3 linked regions of the Rhinolophus ferrumequinum genome follow. The protein of the gene in region 2 purifies or fractionates together with the protein of the main gene of each other region. This does not show direct contact. Links are inferred from orthologs where the notes say so. Each region holds a gene or a part of one and is shown on either strand. Other genes may lie near its edges.

Region 1 (8,081 bases), on a different chromosome or scaffold from region 2:
TGGCCCAGATTTTGAAAACTCCAGCCCAGCTTCAGCCGCAGGGGCTCGGGGGTTGCATTCGCCCCAGATGGCTCCAATTTCCGCAGACTGGTAAGAAACCGCGCGCCAGGGGAGGCAGCGGAGCAGCGCGCCCCTGTCCGCGGGCGCCTCCCGACCGGCCTCTGCCCTGGGCCCAGGGGTCTCTCCGCCCCGAGAGCCGAGACTGCTCGCACCCCGGTGGACAGGCCGAGAGGGAGGCGCCGCGCCACCGTAGCGAACGCCGGGGAACAAACCCAGATGTATTTCCGGGGCCTCCCTCCTTGGATCTGGTGGGGGGAGCGGGGGCTGACAAGGCACAGAGTACTTACCCGGGTGCGGGTGGAGGTTGAGGCCGGCCATGTACTTCCCAGGCGGCAGCGGGCCCTGCAAGCCCGAAGCGGGCAGGCGTCCGGCCGTGGCCGCACCCACGCGGTGGCTGTCCATCGCCAGGCCGGACAGCAGCGGCGGCGGGGGGCCGTGCACGGACCGCGGAGGCCCAAAGTCTCGGCCATCCATCCTCCGCGGGAGTGCCGCGGCCAGCCCCCCACCCGGCCCGCTGGCCTCGTTCAGCGGGACCTAAAAGTTCGGCCTCAGCGTAGTCCCAGAGTCCTCGGGTAGCGGGGGCTCCGCGGCGTGCATGGCGGCGGCGGGCCCGCGGCCCAGGACGCACAGGCGGCCGGAGGTGGGGCCCCTCCCGGCGACCAGGCAGAGCTGAGCGAGGAGGCGCACACAGCGTCTTGGCGGGGAGAGGAGAAAGGCCGCGGAATAAACAGAGGGGAGAAAAGGAAAAAGGGGAAGAAAAAAAAACAAGTTTCAGAAAGTCGTCTTGCCGTTCGGTGTCAGGGGCTGCCGATGTGGTGGCCAGAAACGAAATCGGGAATAGCCCATTTTCCATAAAAAGTAAAAATCCATTTTCTTTCCTCCGGTGGCTTCAGGCTCCCCGGCCGGGGCTCGGAAAGTGACGGGTTGCCCGCTGCGCCCCAGCCCGGACTCTGCACGGGCGGCTCACGGGTCCCCCCGGACTGAGGAAGGCCCCTCGGCCGCGCCCGGACGGCGCAAATACAAACCTTCGAAGTGTGTTTGATTCCTGGGCGTCACATGCTCCAGGGTTTCAAACCGTGAAACCTTTCCAAGAGCAGTTCGCAATGTCTCTCTAAACACTGTCACTATCTGACCCGGAAAGTTTAATATTTAATCTTTAGGGGCCCTCGCCTGAGTTTGGTTTCCCTGAGCTCGTCCCGAGCCGCCCAACTCATGGTTTTTTCGTGAGAAAGGGTGCAAAGCGGCTTTACTATTTTTAAAGAGACTTGCCGCCCCCCACCCCCTCAGGCCACTGTGAGTCGCTGAATCGGAGTCCGAGTCGAGGACCCGAGACGTGGCATTCTCGCCCGAGGACTGAAACGAATCCTTCCCAACAAGCTTTGGTTTCATTTTCCAACGCCCTGGCCTGGGAATCCTACGGCCCGAGACGTAGCCTGGCGCGGGTATTTGAGGGGCGTCAGAAGGGAAGGAAAGGGCTCAAGGGTCTCGCTCCTACCCTAGCTTCCCCCAACCCCCAAAATAACCTACAAAGAAAATCCTCGAACCGCGCGGGCCGACCGAGGGGCGCCTCCCCCAGCACTGGGAAAATCCCCCTGTAGTTCCAGTTTAAAGCTGTTTGTTTAAAAGATTTGTGTTGGCCGATTCCCGTGGGGGCGGGAGAGGGTCTTGGAGCCAACCCTGCCCTCGCTCTCCGTCTGCCCACAGCAGCTTGTATTCCTGATGCCGGAACCGGAGCGCTCCGAGAGCCGCGGATCACGCCAAAGCCACCGGCTCCCGGGTGCCGCCCTGCGTCCCGCGCCGCGAGGTGCAGACCCCTCGACCGCCAACCCCCCGGCCTCCTTTTCCAGCCTCCCTCCACAACTTTGTTAAAGGTGCTCATTTTAACCCGGTTTTGGTTACAACCACCTCCTCCTCCCTTCTCTCCCTCCTTCCCATCAATCTCTGGTTACCAGATCCGCGTTTACTTTAGAAAAATCTAAGATCGCCACATCCGAGGATACATGTCTTAAGAAGGCGATGAGCTTTCCGTGATTTTTAAAAAAATGTTCTTTGTGTAGCTTTTCTAAAAGCCAGCGCTTCAGGGCATGCCCCGGCGCCCCACTTTGGAGAAGTCGGGGTGAAGCCCCCCGGAAAACCCTCGCTCTGGTAGAGAAGCAAGCTCAGCCATCTGCGGGCTCCGCTGCGTTCTCCCTACTTTTTTCTCCCTTTTAAATGCAGTTAAAATGGCTGAATTCCGGCTTTTAATTAAAAACAGCCTATAATCGAAAGCGTTTAGGCGTCCCTGGCTCCCCCGCCGCGTGCCGGGAACCGAGAAGGGAACCGACGCCCCTCGGCCAGGCTGGGCAGGTTGTAGAGGGGCTGGGGCTCAGGTGGGTGCTCCGGGCGCAGCGGCTCGCCCCCACCCTTCCCAGGGCGCCCCCACCTCGCCGGCCCTTGTCCCCATTCCATTCTCGGGGGCTGGAAAGCTGCGGGGATCCCCCGGAGCACCCCGAGTGGGAGGCAGGTTGGGGGGGCAGCTGGAGAAGTTTGGAGACCATCGCGCCTGGCCAGGGGCGGGCGGGCGACCCGGCGGCGTACCTGGCGCGGCGGGACTCCCTGCTCCGGGCTCCGGCGACGGTGACTCCGGTGGCGGCCCCGGCTCCCGGCGCGGCTAGGCGCCCTTGCAGCCCGCCATCCCGCGGCCGCTGCTCCCCTTCGCCACCCGCAGCCTCCTCACACTTTTTGCCCGCCTTTCCTTTTTTTGGTAGAAAACCGCTCCCCGGGCCGAGGGCTCGGCGCGCCAACTCCTCCGCCCTCCCGCTGCCGGGTTCCCGCAGCCCCCGGAAAAGCCAGCTTTCCTCCCGCCGAGCTCCCCGCTTTTTAATAAAATCCAGGTAGCGCCGGTTTAAAGAATCCCAAATCTCCATATACAGCCCGGGATTGGAAAAGGTACATTACACAACCCCCCTTTCAAGTTCCTCTCGTTGGATCTAAAAAAAAAAAAAAAAAAAAAAAAAAAAAACCAGCGGGGGGGAGGGGGTGACTGGGGGAGGGGAACACTCTCCGCCGAAGAAACACGCATTGTTCCCGGGTGCCCGCCTCCCCCCGAGGCCGGCCTCCAGCTGCCACCCATTGGCCGCGCGCGCCGCCAATCCCGCTCATGTAAACACCTTGGCCCTCAGCCATTCCTATAAAACCAATTACGGACCAAGGGGCTCCAGCAGTTTCCAGGCTCCCCTCGGCGGGGCTGAATGATCAAAACTGGTGGTGAGAATTTTTCCGGGCCGTTTCTAGGCAGCCCTCCCCCTCCACCAGCTCAGACCCCCCCCTTCCTCCTTCTCCTCCCTTTTCCTCCCCTCCCTCCCAGCGTCTGGGCTGAGTGATCAAAATAGAGGAAGATGGTTGTCGCCGCAATCCAGGGCTTTGCAAGGCGCGGTTTAATAGGCTGCCTGTCAGCTTCCTGCTCGCAGGAGAAGGTGACAAGCCGAGCGAGCCGAGAAGAGCTTGGGGCCCCGGGGGCTGCACCCCGCGCCTGGCCCCGGCCCCCAACCTCCCCTGGGGCGCGCCTTCTAGAACGCGCGGTGGCGACTCCAAAACAGACAAGGGCTGCTTTTTCCTCCCCCCTCAACCCGCCTTCAAAACAAAGCAGCGATTCATTCCCTCTCCCCCAGCAGCGCGGTTGGGTGGGATGGGCAGGCGAGAAGGCCGTTTTCCTAGCCCCGGCCTGCAGGTCCCTCCCTGAAATGCGGTGTCAGGTGGTTACTGATTAATATTTTGGAGAGGCCGCGGCGGCGGGCAGCGGGTGAGTCTCTAATCTTCTAAAAGGGGTTCCTATAGAAACGCGGGTCGGGGCGCGCCCCCCGCTCAGCCCCGACCGGAGCTGCGGCGCTTTGCACCGCGCGCTCCTCCCCAAAGCCTCTCTTGGCGTGGGCGCACCTCACCCCTTCCCCCCTCCCCAAAGAAAGCAGAAAAAAGGATTAGATCGGCTGAGCGCGAACTGATTCCCTCTCGATTCTGACATTTCAGCCTATTAGCATTTCTCCACGGGGCCTTCTGAAACCTATTAAAGTGTAATATTAAAAACCTCTTGGCTGGGGGCCTCTCTCGCCTTCCATCCGCGGCGCCCCCCTCCAGGGAGGACGAGACCCGGGGAAAAAAATCTGTTGAGCTCAGAGGAAGCAGCAGCCAAGCCCAAAAAGTGCTTGGCTGGCCGTGGTGGCCGGAGGGGGAGGGAAGACTCAATCCCCCAGACTTCGTACTTTTATTTTGCGCTTTCAGCAAAATCCTTTCTGGGTTGAGTCGCTGGGAGCTGCCTGCGGCAACGTACTTGGCTGCGGGCGCAAGAAGTGCGGACGCAGTCGAAGGGGCCGCCCTGGCGGCCCCCGCACCTTCTCTTCGCAGCCCCGCAGGGACCTATGCCCAGCTGGGCATTACGTACACTCAAAAGGAAGCTTGGAAGGGCAAAAATCCTTGCCGATCCTGCCTCGAAGCCACCGCGGTGACTGGATTTTAATTAAAACAAGAGGAGCCGGCTCTTTCGCCCTGCGCTGCGGACTCAGCGTTTTCGCATAGCTGTATTTTTTTAAACCCATTTTTTAAGGCAACTTTTCTGGAGGGATTAAAAATGAGCTAGTTAGCGCCCATTCGTTCTATTTTCTTTTATCCACTTTTAGAAAAAAAAGGGGGTAGGCTTGGAGAGCGAACTGGGGTGTCTAATTCCAGTATAAATTTGAGGAAAAAAGTTCAGCCTCTTGAGGGCAGTTTCAAGTTGCCCTTGCAGAAGCCTCCTGCGTTGGTTTCTAGGCTGCCCTCTTTTGGAAGCTGGAGATCCGCTGCGGGAGGAGGGAGGAGTGAGAAGGAAAGAAAGGAACGAAAATAGCCGGATCCGAAGGGCACTAGCGGCGGTGTCCATGCTTGCAGCAGGGCGCTCAAGTCTCAGTGGCGGCCAGGGCGGCGGGAGGCTCCCGTGGCAGCCCGGGACAGCCAGGAGCAAAGACGGAGAGGAGAGGGGGGTTAGAAAAAGGTATTGTGCCTGTGTGCCTTGGGGGAGGGGGTGACTAAAGAAAAAAATAAACGCAGTTGAGCTGCGCTGGGTTGCTGGAGGCCACCGCAAGGGAAGGGGCTGTGCGTGGGGGCGCAGCCCCGGTGGGCGCCGAGCGTCCTCGAGTCTTATCCAGAGGCCTTTGTGGATTCCTAGTAAACCCTCCCACGCCCGGGCCCCCTTCGCTTCCCCCGCCCCGTTGCCCTTCAATATTCGGAGCCAGACCCTGATCCCCCACCCCGTTATCCCCGCCCTAGATCTGGAATGTTTTTCTTTATTTTAATATAGCTCAAGGAAAAAAAAACTATCTTGAGAAAGCTAGGGTGGGGAATACAAAGGGCTTGCAGGGTGGAAAATAACAAAAGCCTATTTTTATAAATGTTTAATGTTTTCACCCCTGGATGCTCCAAGACGCCGTAATTGTGACGGCGGGGTATGTGTGCCATAAATCATTTAGTTGCTAATAAAAATTCTGCCTGTTTGCCCTGGATTTGCCAATGGCGTTAGCATTTCCAAATGTGCGCTTCGTCGGCGTGGCGAACCGAGCCTGCATTTCATTAGGGCCGCAGTTCGGTGCAGGCGAGACTCCCCTCTCCCCCGGCCAACCGCCCCCCGGCCTTTGTGGGCCCCAACCCCCTCGCGCCGCCCTCCCTGCACACACACCCGCACCCGGAACGCAGGGCTTGGGGACGCGGAGGCGGTGGCTCCCGGTTCCTGGCCACAGGGCGGGACGACAGGACAGACCCTGGCCGCGCCGGTTCTCCGAGCTGCTGTATGCGTCGGGACACTAGCAGGCCACGCCGAGGAGCCGGCCGCCCTGATCTTTGTCCCCTCACCGGCCCCGCGCCCTGGTGGCCCCGCAGTCGCTGGGTAAACAGCGGCTGGGAGCCATCTTAGGGCGGAGGACGGATCCCAAGCCGAGTGGTAGGCGCAGCCCGGCCGGGCTCCTTCAGAGACCCTCGCCACTCGTAGGGGACTCTGCGCATCCCTTGCCCGTCTTCGGGCTCTGGGGAGGTGTCTTCACTCCTCTGGTGGGTCACACTGAAATGTAAAAACCAGGCCTGGGCGCCCAGAGGGGAGCGGGTGACAGCCGCGCAGTCCAGCCGCCATCTTCCGTCCCCTCCCCCCACATACTTCTGTCTACCCAGTGGGAGCCCCGGCCAAAAAGTGTTGACGCAGAATGAGTGTGTGTGAGTGTGTGTGTGTGTTTTGTACTGACTGGGCGGAAAATCGGCTGGAGGGAGGACCTCGAAACCTCAAACCGCAGTTCGCGGAGAACCCGCCCAGGCCAGTGCTGTTGTCGGTGGACAGCCTGGGCCTCCAGAGCCGAGGCCTTTTGTATGTTCCCAGGTCGCCGGTTCCGGCTCCGTAACGGCCAGACTGACAAAATTCTTCCCCTTCGTTTTAAAACCAAAGGACAGAACAATCTTGAGTCCAGTTCTCCCCGGCTGTGCCTTTGTCCAGCCGGCTCAGCCCCTCTATTCAGGGACAAACCCGGCGCTTCCTGGAACCCTGGGGTTGCTGGCCCATGGACACGATTTTCCCTTACTCCTTCTCACCCCCAAAAAAACCGCACCCTTTACTAGGCACGGACACTTGAGCCATTTCCACCCGTCCCCCCGAGCCGCCTTTTCCCCGGTGGAGACCGAAGTCCCCGCACTCCACCAGACTCTTAGCCCAGGTACCGAGCATTCGCCGGCCTCTGCTGCTCGCTCATGAAGCTCTGGCCGGGTCTTTTAAGCGCCAGTGTCCAGGTCCCAGGTCCCGCAACCAGGGAGCGCCCGGCCCGGGCGCCGCTAAAACCTGGAGAGGCTGCGCCTGGGAAAGTCAAGCTCGCCATCCCCGTGCTGGGACTGGCCCAGCCAGGATTCGGTGCTAAGCCAAGGTTCGGCCAACGCAGCCGAGAGCAACCCCGACCCACCAGAAAGACCAAGGACGCGGCGCCAGAGCCCCGCACGCCGTCGGGACCAAGGCGCACAGCTGGCAGAGCTGGAGCTGAAGCTCCAAGCCGGACCCCGGCGGGTCCGGGTGCCTGTCGGCTCCGCCTCCGGCCCTGGCTTCTTCCCCGGCCCGGGTCGGGTCTTCCACTCCACTGTTTGGCTGGTAGAGGACGGAGACGCGCTCAGTGCGCAGGGGGCCGGCTGTGGCCATAAATCTCCTCGCCGGCCCTCCTCGCAGCTCAGGCGCGAGGGCTCTCGGCTGGCCTTGCGTCCCAGGCCTCGCTGGGCTCCCTGATCTCCTAGTCACGGCCTCGGGAGTCCAGAGACCACGAGGTGTCAAGCCAGGAGCTTCCCCCTTCGCCAAAGAGAGGGAACCGCCTCGACTTCTCGGTGCCACCACATCCATCCCCGCAGTCGCTGGACCCAGAGGCGGTCCGGGCCTCACCGGATCGCCGCCTGGGGTCAGGGCGCGCCGGCTCGGCACGTAATCCAAGGAAGGCTCGGTGAGGGTGGGATGGGGTCGAAGCCACCCGCAACATCTAGGGGCGACGCCAGAGTCAGCGTCCGAATGGCATTTAGAACTCAGCCTGCCACCCCTCTTCGTAGACCCTGCTTTAATCCCGAGTCGTCCTTCTGCCCTTGGAGCCTTCTGCGGGCGCAGGATGCGGGAAAGGGGGCTTTTTTTTTTTTCCAGAGCGAGGACCAAGCAGGTTGTTTGCGAGTGCTGTGCCTGGAGGCCAGGGCTCATCGGGTTCCCCAGTCTGCGCCAGCCCATCTTCCCCTCCATGCCGGGGATACCCCGGTCTTTTCTCCACCCGGCCCGGAATTGGTGCCCTCGTTGGCCTCCCGCTTTGGTGCAAATAGCCGAACTATCGGGGAAGCAGGAATCGGTCGGGCGATGGTAGCAGCTTAGTAGGGGAGGTAGTCTTTCTACCCGAACAGTAAAGGGGGGCCCAGAGAGGGTGCATTTGCAATAATAACGCTTAATGTCACCAGCATTGTTTCTTTGCCAGAGAGGCGGGGAACAGGCCTTCATGCTGCTGTCCTCCATCAGCCTAGCA
Region 2 (6,953 bases):
TCAGCTGGTTAGAGCGCAAACTCTGAACAGCAGGGTTGCCGGTTCAATTCCCCCATGGGATGGATGATGGGCTGCGCCCCGGGCAACTAAAGACTGGAAACGACAACTGGACTTGGAGCTGAGCTGCACCCTCCACCACTAGATTGAAGGACAATGACTTGGAGCTGATGGGCCCTGGAGAAACACACTGCTCCCCAATATTCCCCAATAAAATTATATATATAGAAATTATTAAAAAAAAAAAAGTAAGAAGTCTCCCTTCTCTGAACACTGGGTCCCTTCTTTTCTTCTTTTTAAACTGAGAATGTAGAGGTCACAAAACTGTGCAAACTGATACGGTTACAAAGTCAAAGGATCCAGCCTCAAACGTGTCTTCACTACTGCCCAGCAATCCTTCCAAATTTATTTTCCTAGCACCTTCTTTCACAACAGCTATTTAACAGCTAACTCTCTTCAAGATTCCTGCTCTACCAACTGCCCTCAGGAAAAGGAATATTCCCCAACTTCATCTTGAAAACTCCCTCGACTCTCCCCACCAAACTTACCTACATTTGAACTTTTTCTTGCCACTTACCTTCTCACCAAGAAGGAACTTCCTCTTGAAGGCTAGTGTCCCTACCTGTGCTCTGGTGTCCATCTCACCTGGTCTTTTTAGGAACCTCCATCATGACTAGCCCCTCTCCTGTATCTCCAACCTTTCCTCTCTGGCTATTTTCCCTAAGAATTTGAATATGCTCAACTCTCAACCATTACATCTCTCCTTTATCAGCAACCCTCTCTCTGCCCTGGACAAGTTTCATTAAAAAGGGTCCAGCCTGATGTCTCCTCTTCACCCATCCATTCATTCCTCACGCTACAGCAATCTAGCTTCAGTTCCAAACCTAGCACGGGAAACAGTTCTTGCCAACACTTGTCCCTCCCTCTTTTGGCTACTGTAACCCAACACTTTCTGGTTCACTTACATCTCTGGCTATTCCTCTGTATCTTTTTATTCATTTAATCAGCAAGCATTTACTGAGAGCCAACTATGAGTTAAGCACTGTTCTGGGGGAAGAGCATATAGAGGTAGACTAGACATTGTTCCTTTCCCTAAGGCATTTACCATCTGTAAGTATAAAAAAGTAAATGGGTAATTACAATACACAGTGACAAGTGCTATGGCCGGGGAAGTACAGAGCACGAAGGACATTAGACTTTTCCACTTCCTTAGAATTCCACCCTGGATCCTCTTCCGTTCACCCTGTATAACTTCTTGGGTGATGGCATCCTCTTTTGTAACTAAAATTCCCATCTGACAACTATGTATGCTGACGTCTATCAAAAATCTCCTCATTTCTATCTTCTGAACTGCAGACCAGAACGGCTAACTGCCTACTGAACACGATCTAGTTGGATGTCCCCCAGACATCTCAACAAGTATTTCTTGAAGAAAAAAAAAGTTATCAACGGACATGATCTCCTCCACTCGGCATCAAACTGCCCAAACCAGAAACTTGGGATCCTTGCCTTCTTCCTTACCCCAACCTTCATGAATTTAATTTCTGTCCTAGAGCGAGAGTTCTAAGGTAGAAATCTGATGATGTCACTAACCTGCATAAAGCGTCTATGATTCACAAGTGCCCTCAGCATAAAGTCCAACTTCCTTAGGACAGTACGCCCGGCCCTTCGTGACCTAGTCCCTAATGCCTTCTCCAGCCTCATCACCAGCAACCTTTCCCTCACCCCTGTTCCCTCACTTCTACACTCTGCCCTCAAATCTGCGCTTCGGCCCTATGGACACATCCCTGATGCTCTTCAAAGCAGCTGTCCCCTCTCTCCCCTCTAAACTGCTGTCATCTTTGCCTGCCCTGTGCCAGGCTAATAACCCCTGTTCTTCAGATCCCAACTGAGATGGCACCTCCTTCCCTGACTCCTCACACTGGGCTGGGTGCCTCTTCTCCTGTGCCCCGGTAACACTCTGAAAGTTCCTTTATCCCAGCAAGATAACAGAGAGCAGTTCTCTGTCACTGTCTATCTTCCTCTCCAGACGGAGCTGAAGATGGGAAGTGACTCGATCAACTCCATGGCCACCAGCAGCTCAATGCTACCTAGTGCAGAATGAGGTCTCCAGAGAGTGTGGTGACATGAAAAAGTCTGTTTTAACAGCTCGCATCCTTTAGCTTCCAACCCGAGGGACCCCCTTGCCCAGCAGCAACTGCAGGCCCTGCTCAGGGGCTGGGGGAGGGGCAGTGGTGCCGATTAGTTGGTGATTCCTGAAGGACTCTCCCCAAAAAGGATGAGGAAGGAAAGGGGCAGTGAAAAGCCTTTGTACACTCAGCAGGAACACATACCCTTGCACCCCTCCCTCGGATTCTGCCTCCGGCCCTTGGCCTCAGCCTCCCCTCCAGGAGTCCCCTCAAAGTCTCCTCATCAGACGTCTTCCGAATTCCCCACCAAGATCACCTCAGGCGACTCTCTCGGGAGACCTCAGCCTCTTCCCTCAGTCTCGACCTCCTTTCCATTCCTCTGAGCCTCTTCCCTCAGGTCCGACCTCCTTCTCTCAGCTTCCTTCCTCAGCCTTGATCTCCTTTCCTCTGAGCCTCTTCCCTCAGTCTCGACCTCCTTCCTCTGTCCCGACCTCATTCCTCAGCCCAGACTTCCATCCTGAGCCTCCTCCCTCAGTCTCGGCCTCCTTCCTCCCAACCTCCTCCCTCAGCCCGGACCTCCTTTCCCTTCAGCCTCCTCTCTCAGCCTCGTCTTCCTCTCAGCCTCCTCTCTCAGCCTTGCCCCAACGCCTGTCTCTCCCAGCCTCCCGCTCCCGGATCCGGCCCGGCCAGGCCCCGCCCCCGCTGCGAGGACGGTGCTCACCGTCGTAGTAGTAACAGACTTTCCTCTTGGTGCCCTGAGTCTGCGCCATCTTGCTCGCCTCCCGTCCCTCCCGTCCGTCCGTCGGTCCGTCCGGCCTCCCGCCCGCAGCTCTGCTCAGCGTCCGACCCAGGGGGGAGGGGGCGGGCCTCCAGCCCGCCCCGCCCGTCCCCTCCCGGGCTCACCTATAGCCGCGCAGCCCGGGCACCGCTCCAGCCAATCAGCTTACGCAGGGACGGCCCGGAACTCGGCAGGGGGCAAGGGCAGCCCGGAGGAGCCCGGAGAGGCAGCCCAGGGCCCCCTGGGCCTGTACCAAGGTCCGCGACAGGGGGGTGGGGGAGCTGCCCGGGGACCGTACCATTAGTCCCGGGGGAAGAAAGCAGGTCTGTAAACTTCACAGTCCCATTTCGGTGTTGGAGGCGTGCTTGGAGATAAGGGGCCAACTTTGTACAATTTTACACAGAATCCACTGAGGTCTACAGGGGGGAAGTGACTTGCACAAGGTCACTCAGCTAGTGAAAGGGCTGAACGTGGATTATAACTCAGATTTGGAGGAAAGAGAATTAAACTGACAAACGAAATAAAAGTGCTGTGGGCCAAGTACTGTGCAGATTATCTCAATTATTCCTCACAACAGTTTTGGAGGAGGCCTTTTTATCCCCATTTTATAGATAAAGATATTGAAGTTGAGACCTTTGTGACTTGCTCAGACTCACACAATTAGTAATTAAATTCAATTGTTTTCTTTTTCTTGTTTTTTATTAGTTTTTCCTCTAAATTCAATTTTCAATTGTACATATATTTTGAATGCCTATTATACATCAGGGACACTGTAACAACGTGGCAGAACCTAGTCTCTTTCTCCAAGCCTACCTCCCTGATGCAGATGCCCAAGAGGACTGAGGAGTGCTTTTAGCTAGGAGAAAACTGATGGTCCCCTGAACCTGGAGCAGGGTTTCTCTAGCTATTGGAACTATTAACATTTTGGGCTGGATAATTATTTATTGTAGGGGACTGTCCTGTGCACCATAGGATGTTTAACCGCATTCTTGGCCTCTACTCGTTAGATGCCACTGGCACCCTCACCCCAAGATGTGACAACCAAAATTGTCTCCAGACATTGCAAGTCTCCAGGGCAAGGAGGGGAGGGGTTAGAGGAAGTATAAATTGCCCCTCACCCTACACTTGAGACCACTGCACTAGATCAGTCATCAACTGGTCAGTATTGAAAGCTGAAAGGCTGAAAAACACTGTGATGGGCCATTAAAATAACACTAATATTTAGTGAGTGCTTACTATGGGCCAAGTAAGTTACTCACTCATGGTCCTATAGTCAATAATATACAATATGCTTCTTTACATTTAAAGAGTGCTTGGACAATTGGGTTCCTCAGTTGGGAATTGTATTGGGCCATTAATAATGAAGGTAATAAGAGATCTAATACTGGGCAGTTCTATTAAAGAAATAACAAAAGGCCAGGGAATAAACTCTATTCCCAATTTTGTGTTGCTGCTTCCTAGCTAGGAAACTTTCTGGGCCTCCATTTCCCTCTTTGTAAAATGGAGAGGATAAGAAAACAAGTTGACAGACTCTATGGCTGCACAGTTTCCAAAGGAGGTTGTGGGTGTGGCAGCATTTTATAAAATGCAGGACATCACACACTCAAATGCCAACAGAGATCAGGCAGGTGATGTAAATGACTGGATATATATTATATTTACATTGTTTATATTAGTTTGATTCAGGCGCTTTGTTTGCATATTTTTTAATTGAATTCTTTTTCACTCTCTTCAATTGAATTCCTTTTCACTTTCCCCCATCTTTCCACAAACACACTGCCATCTTCAGGTATCTTCAATTTTCTCACTTTTTAATGGAAATGTGGGTGCCAAAAAAATTTCATTTTCCTCTATATTGTAAGAAGAAGAACATGAACATGATGATAAATAGCTGCTAATAGTTTCATTGTCTGGGAGCAAGAGAGAGTGGAGAGTATTCTGGCAAAAGGAGAGCCCATACCCCATCCAAACGGGGTGATCACTACTCAGCTCTAGGACAGATAAGTGCAAGGGAGCCAAACCTTCCTGGTTTTTCAAGAGATACAGAAATCTGGAGATTTATGCAAAATCTATCTAGTTTTATAAATTGACTGCTAATTCAGTCTATTATCAACATAACAGTAAGAGCCATCCTTTAAAATGTAAGTCAGATCATGTCATGGCTCTGCACAAATCCTAGTAAAGCCTCCTCAATATGTCTCCTACAAAGGCCACAAAGCCCCAGAGGATCTATCGCCCTCCTTCAAGCAGCCTTTACTTCTAGAGCTGGCCAGGGAAGCTTCTTCCTCAGGCTGTTTCCTCTGCCCCACCACTCCTCCCCCACACCAGGAGGCTCACTCACTCACTTCCTTCAAATCTTTGCTCAGTCACCTTCTCAATGAGGGCTTCTCAGACCATTGTCTTTAAAAATGTTAACCTCCCCAAACATGACATTCCTAATTCCCCTTACCCAACTCTATTTTCCTCTTAGCACTCATTACCTTGTAGCATACCGTATCATTCACATCTTTGTGATGCTTATTGTCTGTCTTCCCTTGCTAGAATGTACGCTCCACAAAGGCAGAAACTGTTTTATCTACTGTATATCCTGAGCCCAGAACTGTGCCTGGCATACAGTAGATGTTGAATAAATATTTGTTAAATGAGTGAATTAACTCGATGTTTAAAAACATCTTGAAAGTGAATCAAAACACATCTGAAGCCAAATATAGCCCTTGAATCATTAGCATGTAAAAAAATGCTAGGGCCGGCCCAGTGGCTCAGGCGGTTAGAGCTCCATGCTCCTAACTCGGAAGGCTGCCTGTTCAATTCCCGCATGGGCCAGTGGGCTCTCAACCACAAGGTTGCCAGTTCAATTCCTCAAGTCCCGTAAGGGATGGTGGGCTCCGCCCCCTGCAACTAAGATTGAACACGGCACCTTGAGCTGAGCTGCCGCTGAGCTCCCGGAGGGCTCAGTTGGTCAGAGCGCATCCTCTCAACCACAAGGTTGCCAGTTTGACACTTAAGGGATGGTGGGCTGCGCCCCCTGCAACTAGCAACGGCAACTGGACCTGGAGCTGAGCTGCGTCCTCCACAACGAAGACTGAAAGGACAACAACTTGAAGCTGAACGGCACCCTCCACAGCTAAGATTGAAAGGACAACAACTTGACTTGGGAAAAAAAAAAAGTCCTGGAAGTACACACTGTTCCCCAATAAAGTCCTGTTCCCCTTCCCTCCCACGCAAAAAATTGCTATTGCTCTTATGTAATAGGAGGGAGAGGGTCCTGGGATATATACTAGGAGGTTCTAGGTAGGAGTCGCCCTGAAGCCTTTGGGGTGGGGATTTAAAGGGTTTCAAAGAGCCCGTACAGCAAAGAGTCGGGACCTCCTTTTGGCCCCCAGCGTCAGCAGAGCTGGAAAAAGTTCAGACATCCCCTCATCCCATGGTTCACCGCAATTCAGGGTTATCATCTTCTGAACCCCCACTCTCCCCTCCCAAGGAAGAAGAGATAGGAGTGGGGAGCAGAGAGATGTAAAACCTTTATCAACAAACAGACATTTATTGAGCTCCTGATGTGTGACAGGCACCAAGGAGGAGCACACAGAGGTATTAGAAAGGTCTCCCCCTCCAGGAGAGAGATTCTTTAGGACCAGGAGAAAGGCAAAAGGGGTGGGCAGAAGCTGGTGTCAATCACAGGCCTCTCTCCTTTAGTGGTCTCAGGAAGTAGGAGGGCCCAGAGAGGGATAGCTTGGACAGGTGTCCAAGACATATATGTACAGGCCACACATACACAAGGCACATGTGCAGAGCCCACACAACTCAAGAACCTGTGTATAAGACACAAGTGGATGTGTCACATGTAGATAGGATTCACGTGCAGGGTCCATATGTGCATAGGCCACATGGGAACGGCACAAGAACTGCTTCTTCCCCAGCCAGGTTGGCTAGATGCGGGGAGGGCTCCACGTCCCAGCCAGCTAGGCCTCTTAGGGCTGGGGCTGGTACTGGCCCTCCGTGGCTGTGAAGAAGTCCTCCAGCACACTGCGCAGGTAATCAAAGGTGGGCCG
Region 3 (7,274 bases), on a different chromosome or scaffold from region 2:
GCTTGAACCAAGCAAAACATCTACACAACTCTTTGGTATGAAGGGCTGACCCAGTCGGGCTCACACTCACAAGAGCTGCGGTGGGGCCCGATGTACTTCTAAACCTACAGAACGTGGGGAAGACCCATAGGACAGGTATGAGCCCCCCTTACTCCTGTCCCTCCCCAGCCCATGTGCCAAGAATGGGGTTCTGAGAAACCCCACAGAAGTTCAAAGGCACACTCAAAAGAGAACTACAGGCTGCTGTTCTGATGAACACAACATCCAGATTATTGTTGGGTTTTGTCAGCTTGGGGTTTTCAGTTTGTGCTTTTCTTTATTTAAATAAATCTCCTTTAAATGACTTGGGGCAGCATTAGTTCTGCAAATACTAGAATACATGTACTCCAAGCCTCTCTGGGGAAAGAATGAGGGCTCTCCCAGAGTTCTGCCGTCTCCAGGACGAGAAGAAATGGCAGGCGGAGATGCACCACTCCCTGACCCTGGCCCATTTGGTACAGACCAAGCCAGTGACTTCTGGTGGTGTATTACAGTCACATATGATGGTCCAGACAACTCTCAAAGTTTAGTAAAATGTGAACTATTCCTTCCTCATTCTAAAGGCCCTGCCTCAAACAATGTTCACTTACTTTAACTTCTTCCCTCCGCCTTAATAACTTTACAACTATTAACAATGGTAACAGATTAAAACAAAACAGAGTGGAGAGATTTCTCACTCTCCTAAAACTACAGGGGGGTTAGAATTGAAAGTCTTGGGGGCTTGAAAAAGAAAGAAAATAGGTTTAAAAACATATTTCTCCTCATCGGAGAGCCTCTTGTGCAAGATGGAGATGCTCCTGGCCAACTGTAGTTAGTTGTGCTCAAGGGGTATCAATTCCAGTTGCAGGCGTGAGGTGTCCCGTTTCAGAGCCAATAACTCCTCTGACAGCCGAGTACCCTAAAGGTGGCCTGCAGTAGGTAGGTGCCATCTAATTTACAACTGGGGCCTCCCACTCAAACCTAAAGCTGGTCAAAATTCCCAGAGTCCCTGGAGCAGGGAGCCTTAGAACAAAGCACTTCCCCACTCTTGAATGTAAAACCTCAAACCACAAAGGTGGAGGAAAAAGAGAAGCTAGCAGGAGTGCCCCTCTCACTGTCTTACTCTTAGACGCTTTTTATCGAATCATTGAAATCTTACAAGAACTTCATGGTAATGGTTAACTGCCCAATTCAAGGTCTGTCTCAGCTATTTCTACAGAAGCCTCTCACTTTCAGATGTTAGGGAATATTTCCCCTAGCATCTTGTCGTCTAAAAGAACCTTCCAAGCAATCTACTGACAAGATCCTGGAGTGATCTGTGGTCCCTGCAGGAGTGGAGGTGGGCGCACACCATCCACACACCTGTTGTCTGGTGACCCGGCCAGCAGCATCCTGCGGACTCCTCTCGCCACCCCCACGCCACCCCACCCTCAGCGAGTCTCTTCTGGCCTTGTCCACCCGGGAAGCCTGCAGTCTTCCGGAGTCACCTTAAAAAAACCACAACTCCCAACCACAAAGCAAACAAAAGGCCGCTCAGGAGCCCAGCTAGAGAGGCAGGGGTCCCCGTGGCCCCTCTCCAGCCAGTCCCTGGACAACCCCTACCCCTCCTCGGCCTGGCTCCAGTCCCGCGAGTATCCCGCACCCCAGCACCCTGCCCTCCCAGCACCTACAGAGCCAGGCGCCTACACCGCGGCCACCTGGGTCTCGGGCCCGACTTATTGTGCGGGGCAACTCGCGGGCTGGGCTGGCGTGGCTTCACCAAGTCCAACTCCGCGCACAACCGCACCCGGGCGCCCGGGCCCTGGCCGGCCAGCCAGTGCCGCGGGGCCTCCTCCGGCCCCAGGCCCAGCCGTCGGCCCGTCCACCCGGGGCAGGGTCGCCCAGGGAGGGGCCCCAACTGTCTCCTTCCCACAAAAGCGCCCGGGCAGGAGGACGCGGTTGTGAGAAGTTGGCTTCCGGGTTTGCTTTTTGAACAAAACCAAAGGGAATCCCGCACGGCACAGGCAGGGCCTGGGAGGGCGCCGTGTGCGCGAGGCTCTGCCGTGGGCCGCGCCGAGCCCGGCGGCCCGAGGTGAGCGCCAGGCCCGGCCGCTCGCAGGCACCCGCAGCCGGAAGAGCGCGGCGGCCGGACCCGGACGGCGGGGACGGGGCGCGTGGCGAGGGGGTCCGCGCGGCACTTACAGGCGGCTCAGCGGCGGCGGCAGCAGCAAGGTGTCCGGCCTGTGCCCTCTTGGCCGCTCGCGCCTTTTCTCTCCGCGCTCCTCGCTGGCCCGCCCGCCCGCCCGCCCGCCCGCCTCCTCGCTTCCCGCCCGCGCGCCCCGCGCTCGCCCCCTCCGCCCGGCTCCGCTGCCGAGTGAACTGGAACCAGTCGCCGCGGCCCCGGGATTCCCATAATGCACAGCGCGCCGCTCGTCACATCCCATCCCGTCCCTCCGCGTCCGTCCCCCCCTCCCGCGCCGTCCCGGCCTTGACCCCAACCCCGCGGCTGATCGCTCCCGAGCCTTCGGCGCTCTGCAACTTGGACGCTGGTCGGTCTGTCCCCCAGCTGCATGGGTCCGGCCCTCTGCGCTCAGGCATTCGGGCCCTGATGCTGGACGCCGGATGCAGGGTCCACCCGATCCCCGGGCGCGCCCTGAGCAGAGGTGCCCCGGCAGAGCGGCATCCAGCGCGCGTCTCAGCCTGTGTGTTTCGAGTGACACTTATTGGAACGCCTACTGTGTGCCTGGCCCTCAGCATGGGACTCATCCCTAGAAGCCATCCTATTAACCCAGGGAGGGAGACACAACTGCTGTTACCAGCAAGCACTTTTCCCTCCCTAACCAATGCAGACCTCCCGCGCACCTCAGAGCCCCCCGCTGTCTGTAGATACAAGCCTCCAGCAAACCTTTTCTTCCCCATCATCAACTATTGCACTTCCACTGCCCTGGTTCTGCATCGTGACCCCCAGAAGTCTGGACTTGCTTTGCACACGGAAGCCGTTAGTTACTTCGATTCAGGAAACGTTCACGATAGAACCGTTGAGAGTCACTAATGTAAACAGTGATTCCTTATCACACTCAGGTTTTAAAACTGCAGACAAGCAGAAAGAGGAGGGCCGCTGTAAAGATCATCTCTGAGTTCCTGGATTGGTTTCTCTCCCGAAGGCGTTAGTGCCCCATCCCGGGTACTTAAATAGGGGACTTAACCACTTCTCCCCTCTCCCTAAGTGTAGAGGGGAAGCTACCTGAGCACCTAGCTGTGGACCAAATTTAGATAACAATATACACCCTGCAGAGTTGTTGTGAGGTTCAAGGTACCGCTGCTCAAAGATCCCTCCTAGCCCTCAGGCTGCCCCCTAGAGCACCGGTGGTAACCTCCCTTTAGCATGCTTTACACCCGACTTGAAAAGTTTGCAAAGCGGAGACCAATACAAGCCATTTATGGATTCATTAATTCAGTTGAGTAGTAAAGTCATACTTTGGGCCATGCACAAATTTGGGTAATGAAGATGAGGCAGTGGGGTGGAGTTTCAAAAAAAATTAATACTTTCTACTGCTTCATCAAGGACATTCTTAAGTGAAACTATTCGGATTTTTTTTTCTCTGAGTGCTTGGCAATAAAGAATAAAATGATTATGAGTAGAGTTCGGTGCCAGAGCTGATCTGTGCCAATTCACCAGCAGTTTTGCCCATTATTGTTTTTGCACCATTGGTGCAAAGATCAAGACAATGAAAAAGCTAAATAATGTCTTAGCATTATTATGAAAAACTTGGACCTTGTGGATCCCAGGAAAGGGTCTCAGTGACCTTCAAGGGTCTGCAGACCTCATTTTGGAACCACTGTTCCAAGTATCCTGTTAAATATACATACCACTGTATATTTTACCAGTTTCTTCTTGTGGTTGTTTTTTTTTCAGACTGTTTCCAACTCTATTATAAAGACCTGATGAATATCCTTAGAGATACACATTTGTGCACATCTGACTGTTGAGGATAAGTTCGTAGGAGTGGAACTGCTGGATCAAAGTTTGAAAGCTTTATCACAGATAGTCAAAGGGCCCTCCCCGAGAAGAGAAGTCCAGGCAGAGCACCGCCAGTGGGCAGGGCAGGCCTGAGCATTCCTGCATTTCCTCAGCACCTCTTTGCCCCACCCTGAATGTTCTCTAAGACCTTTGATGATCTGAGAGTTAAACAGTGGGGTGTCACCAGTCTCTGAGTTTAGCTTGCCCATGTTTGTGGAAGGGCAGGGTGGGTCTCCAGTTAGTTCCTAAGTTTTTGATCAACACACATCAAGCTAAGAGGAGTGAGTATATGTGAAGGAGTGAGGGGATTCCAGGAAAGAAAGAATCTGGTAAACTTCTCTCCACCGTCATCTGCCCCACAAACAGACGTGCTGTTTTCCACGGAACAGATACATGCGTCATCTCTGCAGGTTGGAGCCTTTCTTCCTGACTTGATCACTTCAGAGATAAGTTCTCTTCCTTTCTCTCTCTTTGATCAGCAATTGGCAGCAAAGTCTGACACGTTCTCTCCTTTTCAACAACTCCCAATCCCTCCTGTCTTTGTTAAACAGTTAATGCGCTTCTCTTGGAGAAGTACAGGTGAATATTTACCCTTAATAAGTAATAACAAAGGAGCCAAGGAAAACCATCCTGGGTGTATGTTGGGAGAAGGAGGGCTGTATTATGCTCTTCAGGCCTAGAGACATCTCTGAATTTAAATCCCTCCCCCACCCTCCCCGCCTCCCAAGGTGGAGCTGAACTGAAAGTAACAGTTTGAAGGATTTAGGCTACCCGTAGAGAATTACTACTCAAAGTGTGTTCCACAGACCACTGTGAGGTCCCTGAGATCCTTTCATGGGGGTCTGTGGGTCAAAACTACTTTCACAATAATAATACTAAGGCCTTATTTGCCGTTTTCACTATGTTGACATTTGCAATGATGATAAAAAAATGCACTGGTAGGTAAAACTGCAAAACACACACACACACAACAGAGTTTTAAAACCTACGCATGATGTTGTAGCATCATACATTAGTGATTTGAAAAATACTGGTTTACTCAATTATACTATCTTATGTATCGCTTAAGAATTAAAAATGAATATGTGGTGATGGAAGGAGAACTGACTGGGTGGTGAGCACACAATGTGATATACAGATGATGTAGTATAGAATTATATACTTGAAATCTATGTGATTTTACTAACCATTGTCACCACAGTAAATGTAATTTTTTTTTCCAAGTCAAGTTGTTGTCCTTTCAATCTTAGTGGTGGAGGGTGCCATTCAGCTTCAAGTTGTTGTCCTTTCAGTCTTAGTTGTGGAGGACGCAGCTCGGCTCCAGGTCCAGTTGCCTCCAGGTCCAGTTGCCGTTACTAGTTGCAGGGGGCGCTGCCCACCATCCCTTGTGGGACTCAAGGAATTGAACTGCCAACATAGTGGTTGAGAGCCCACTGGCCCATGTGGGAATCGAACCGGCAGCCTTCAGAGTTAGGAGCAGGGAGCTCCAACCGCCTGAGCCACTGGGCCGGCCCAATAAATGCAATTTTAAAAAAGGAAAGAATTAAAAATATCCTAAGGAAGCAGATTTTGAAATTTTTTAAAAGCTTGTATCTGCCATCATGAGCTTGACAGCTTCCCAATACTTAAAAACTTTCCTGATGAGATTGGTGGTAGTTTTAACCAATATGATTTTTTGATGTTGTGTGATAAAATCAGTCAACATTTGGAAAGATTTTATATATCTTAGTGATACATATGATAGTACAATTTAGTGAACCAATATTTTCCAAATCACTAATGTATGATGCTACAACATCATGCATAGGTTTTTAAAAATCCATTCAAAATTCAAGATAAACCAACGGATTTAATGTCACAGTATGAAAAGTTCAGTAATATATTTTAATATTCTACATAACTATTAATGTTTAAGAAACTACCATTTGTTGAGTCTTGGTGTAGAATCAGAGAACAATATCCAAAATTATCTGCAAAATTATTGTAATACTCCTACCTTGACTACATTAAAAACAAAACAAAACTTTTGCATAGAAAAGAAAACACCGTAAGAAAGTCAAAAGCCAAGTGACAAACTAGAAGGAAATATTGGCAAAATATAACACACATAAAGCTATTGTCTCTGTCTTAATCTGCTCAAGCTGCCCTAACAAAATATCATAGTCTGGGTGACCTAAATAATAGAATTTTCTCCCAGTTCCTAAAGGCTGGAAAGTCCAAGATCAAGATTCTGGTACAGTTCAGTCTATGGTGAAAGCTCTCTTTCAGAGCACACTGCCATTTGTCCTCATATGACCTTTCCTGTGTGTGTGTGTGTGTAAAGAGACAGGGAGAGAGAGAGAGAGAGAGAGAGAGAGAGAGAGAGAGAGAGAGAGAGAGAGAGAGAAAACATAAGCTCTGGTGTCTCTTCTTCTTATAAAGACACTAATCTTATTGGGTTAGGGCCCCATCCTATGACCTCATTGCGGGTAAAGGCTTCAATATGTATTTGGGAAGTGAGGGGGGGACACAATTCAGTCCATAGCAGATGTACAGAGGTTGCCAAAAAAAATCTATACACATTTTAAGAAAGGAAAAAACGGTTTTAAAATTGTAATAGTCAATATATATCGATAACAAAAGATGAATACAAGTCATGTGCATACATTTTTTTGGCACCCCCAGTATGTATTTATTTATAAAGGTGAGGAAAGAAGTTCTCTTCCTTTAGAAGAATGTTGAATGGTAACTACTAAAGGTAGAGGGAGTGCTGGAGTTGGAAAATCAGCACATTATAACCGTCATAGTAAAGATTAGTTTCAGCAAAAATCATCAGTGGATACTATATTAATTCCCTATTACTGTTGTAACAAATTACTATAGACATTACAAGATGAGTCCTTGACGTATAACTAAGAAATTGCTTTTCTTATCTTCCCAATCATTTCAAGACCTTAGAATATTTCAACTTACAATCTTTTAACTGTCTCAACTTTGTATTATTCTCATGAATCTTCTATTCTACATTTTAAACTCCATAACATTACTAGAATTATTTGGTACAATTATGTCATGTTTACCCATATATTTACACTTCCTGGTGCTTTTCATTCTCCTTGTATACCTGTTTCCATGTGGGTCATTTTTATTTTGCCCCCCCCCCCGCCCCAAGAAAAACACTACCATTAGTGCTTCTATTAATAGACTTGCTGGCAACTAATTCTCTCAGTTTTTTCTTCTTTAAAGAGGCCTCAAAACTCCTTTACATCACCTTCAT

The links. The genes of interacting proteins can lie anywhere in the genome.
Region 1: the proteins of HDAC1 (region 2) and TNRC18 purify together in Homo sapiens (co-immunoprecipitation; 4 studies listed by BioGRID and IntAct, counting the BioPlex papers as one, with this or other methods). This does not show direct contact. The link is inferred for Rhinolophus ferrumequinum from reciprocal best matches to the Homo sapiens genes HDAC1 and TNRC18.
Region 3: the proteins of HDAC1 (region 2) and core histone macro-H2A.1 purify together in Homo sapiens (affinity purification with western blotting; 3 studies listed by BioGRID, with this or other methods). This does not show direct contact. The link is inferred for Rhinolophus ferrumequinum from reciprocal best matches to the Homo sapiens genes HDAC1 and MACROH2A1.

What each region holds. Positions count from the first base shown.
Region 1 is NC_046307.1:41,655,967-41,664,047, reverse strand, and holds the start of TNRC18 (trinucleotide repeat-containing gene 18 protein), read right to left. Parts: upstream 3,012-8,081; 5' UTR 2,638-3,011; intron 1,501-2,637; exon of another isoform or gene 1,086-1,500; intron 755-1,085; 5' UTR 535-754; coding exon 348-534; intron 1-347.
Region 2 is NC_046292.1:22,158,983-22,165,935, reverse strand, and holds the start of HDAC1 (histone deacetylase 1), read right to left. Parts: upstream 3,005-6,953; 5' UTR 2,897-3,004; coding exon 2,848-2,896; intron 1-2,847. Other genes in the region: tyrosine-protein kinase Lck, read right to left, coding at 6,873-6,953. UniProt on the Homo sapiens protein: Histone deacetylase that catalyzes the deacetylation of lysine residues on the N-terminal part of the core histones (H2A, H2B, H3 and H4).
Region 3 is NC_046307.1:11,097,168-11,104,441, forward strand, and holds the start of core histone macro-H2A.1, read right to left. Parts: upstream 3,012-7,274; 5' UTR 2,903-3,011; intron 2,303-2,902; exon of another isoform or gene 2,200-2,302; intron 1-2,199. UniProt on the Homo sapiens protein: Variant histone H2A which replaces conventional H2A in a subset of nucleosomes where it represses transcription. Nucleosomes wrap and compact DNA into chromatin, limiting DNA accessibility to the cellular machineries which require DNA as a template.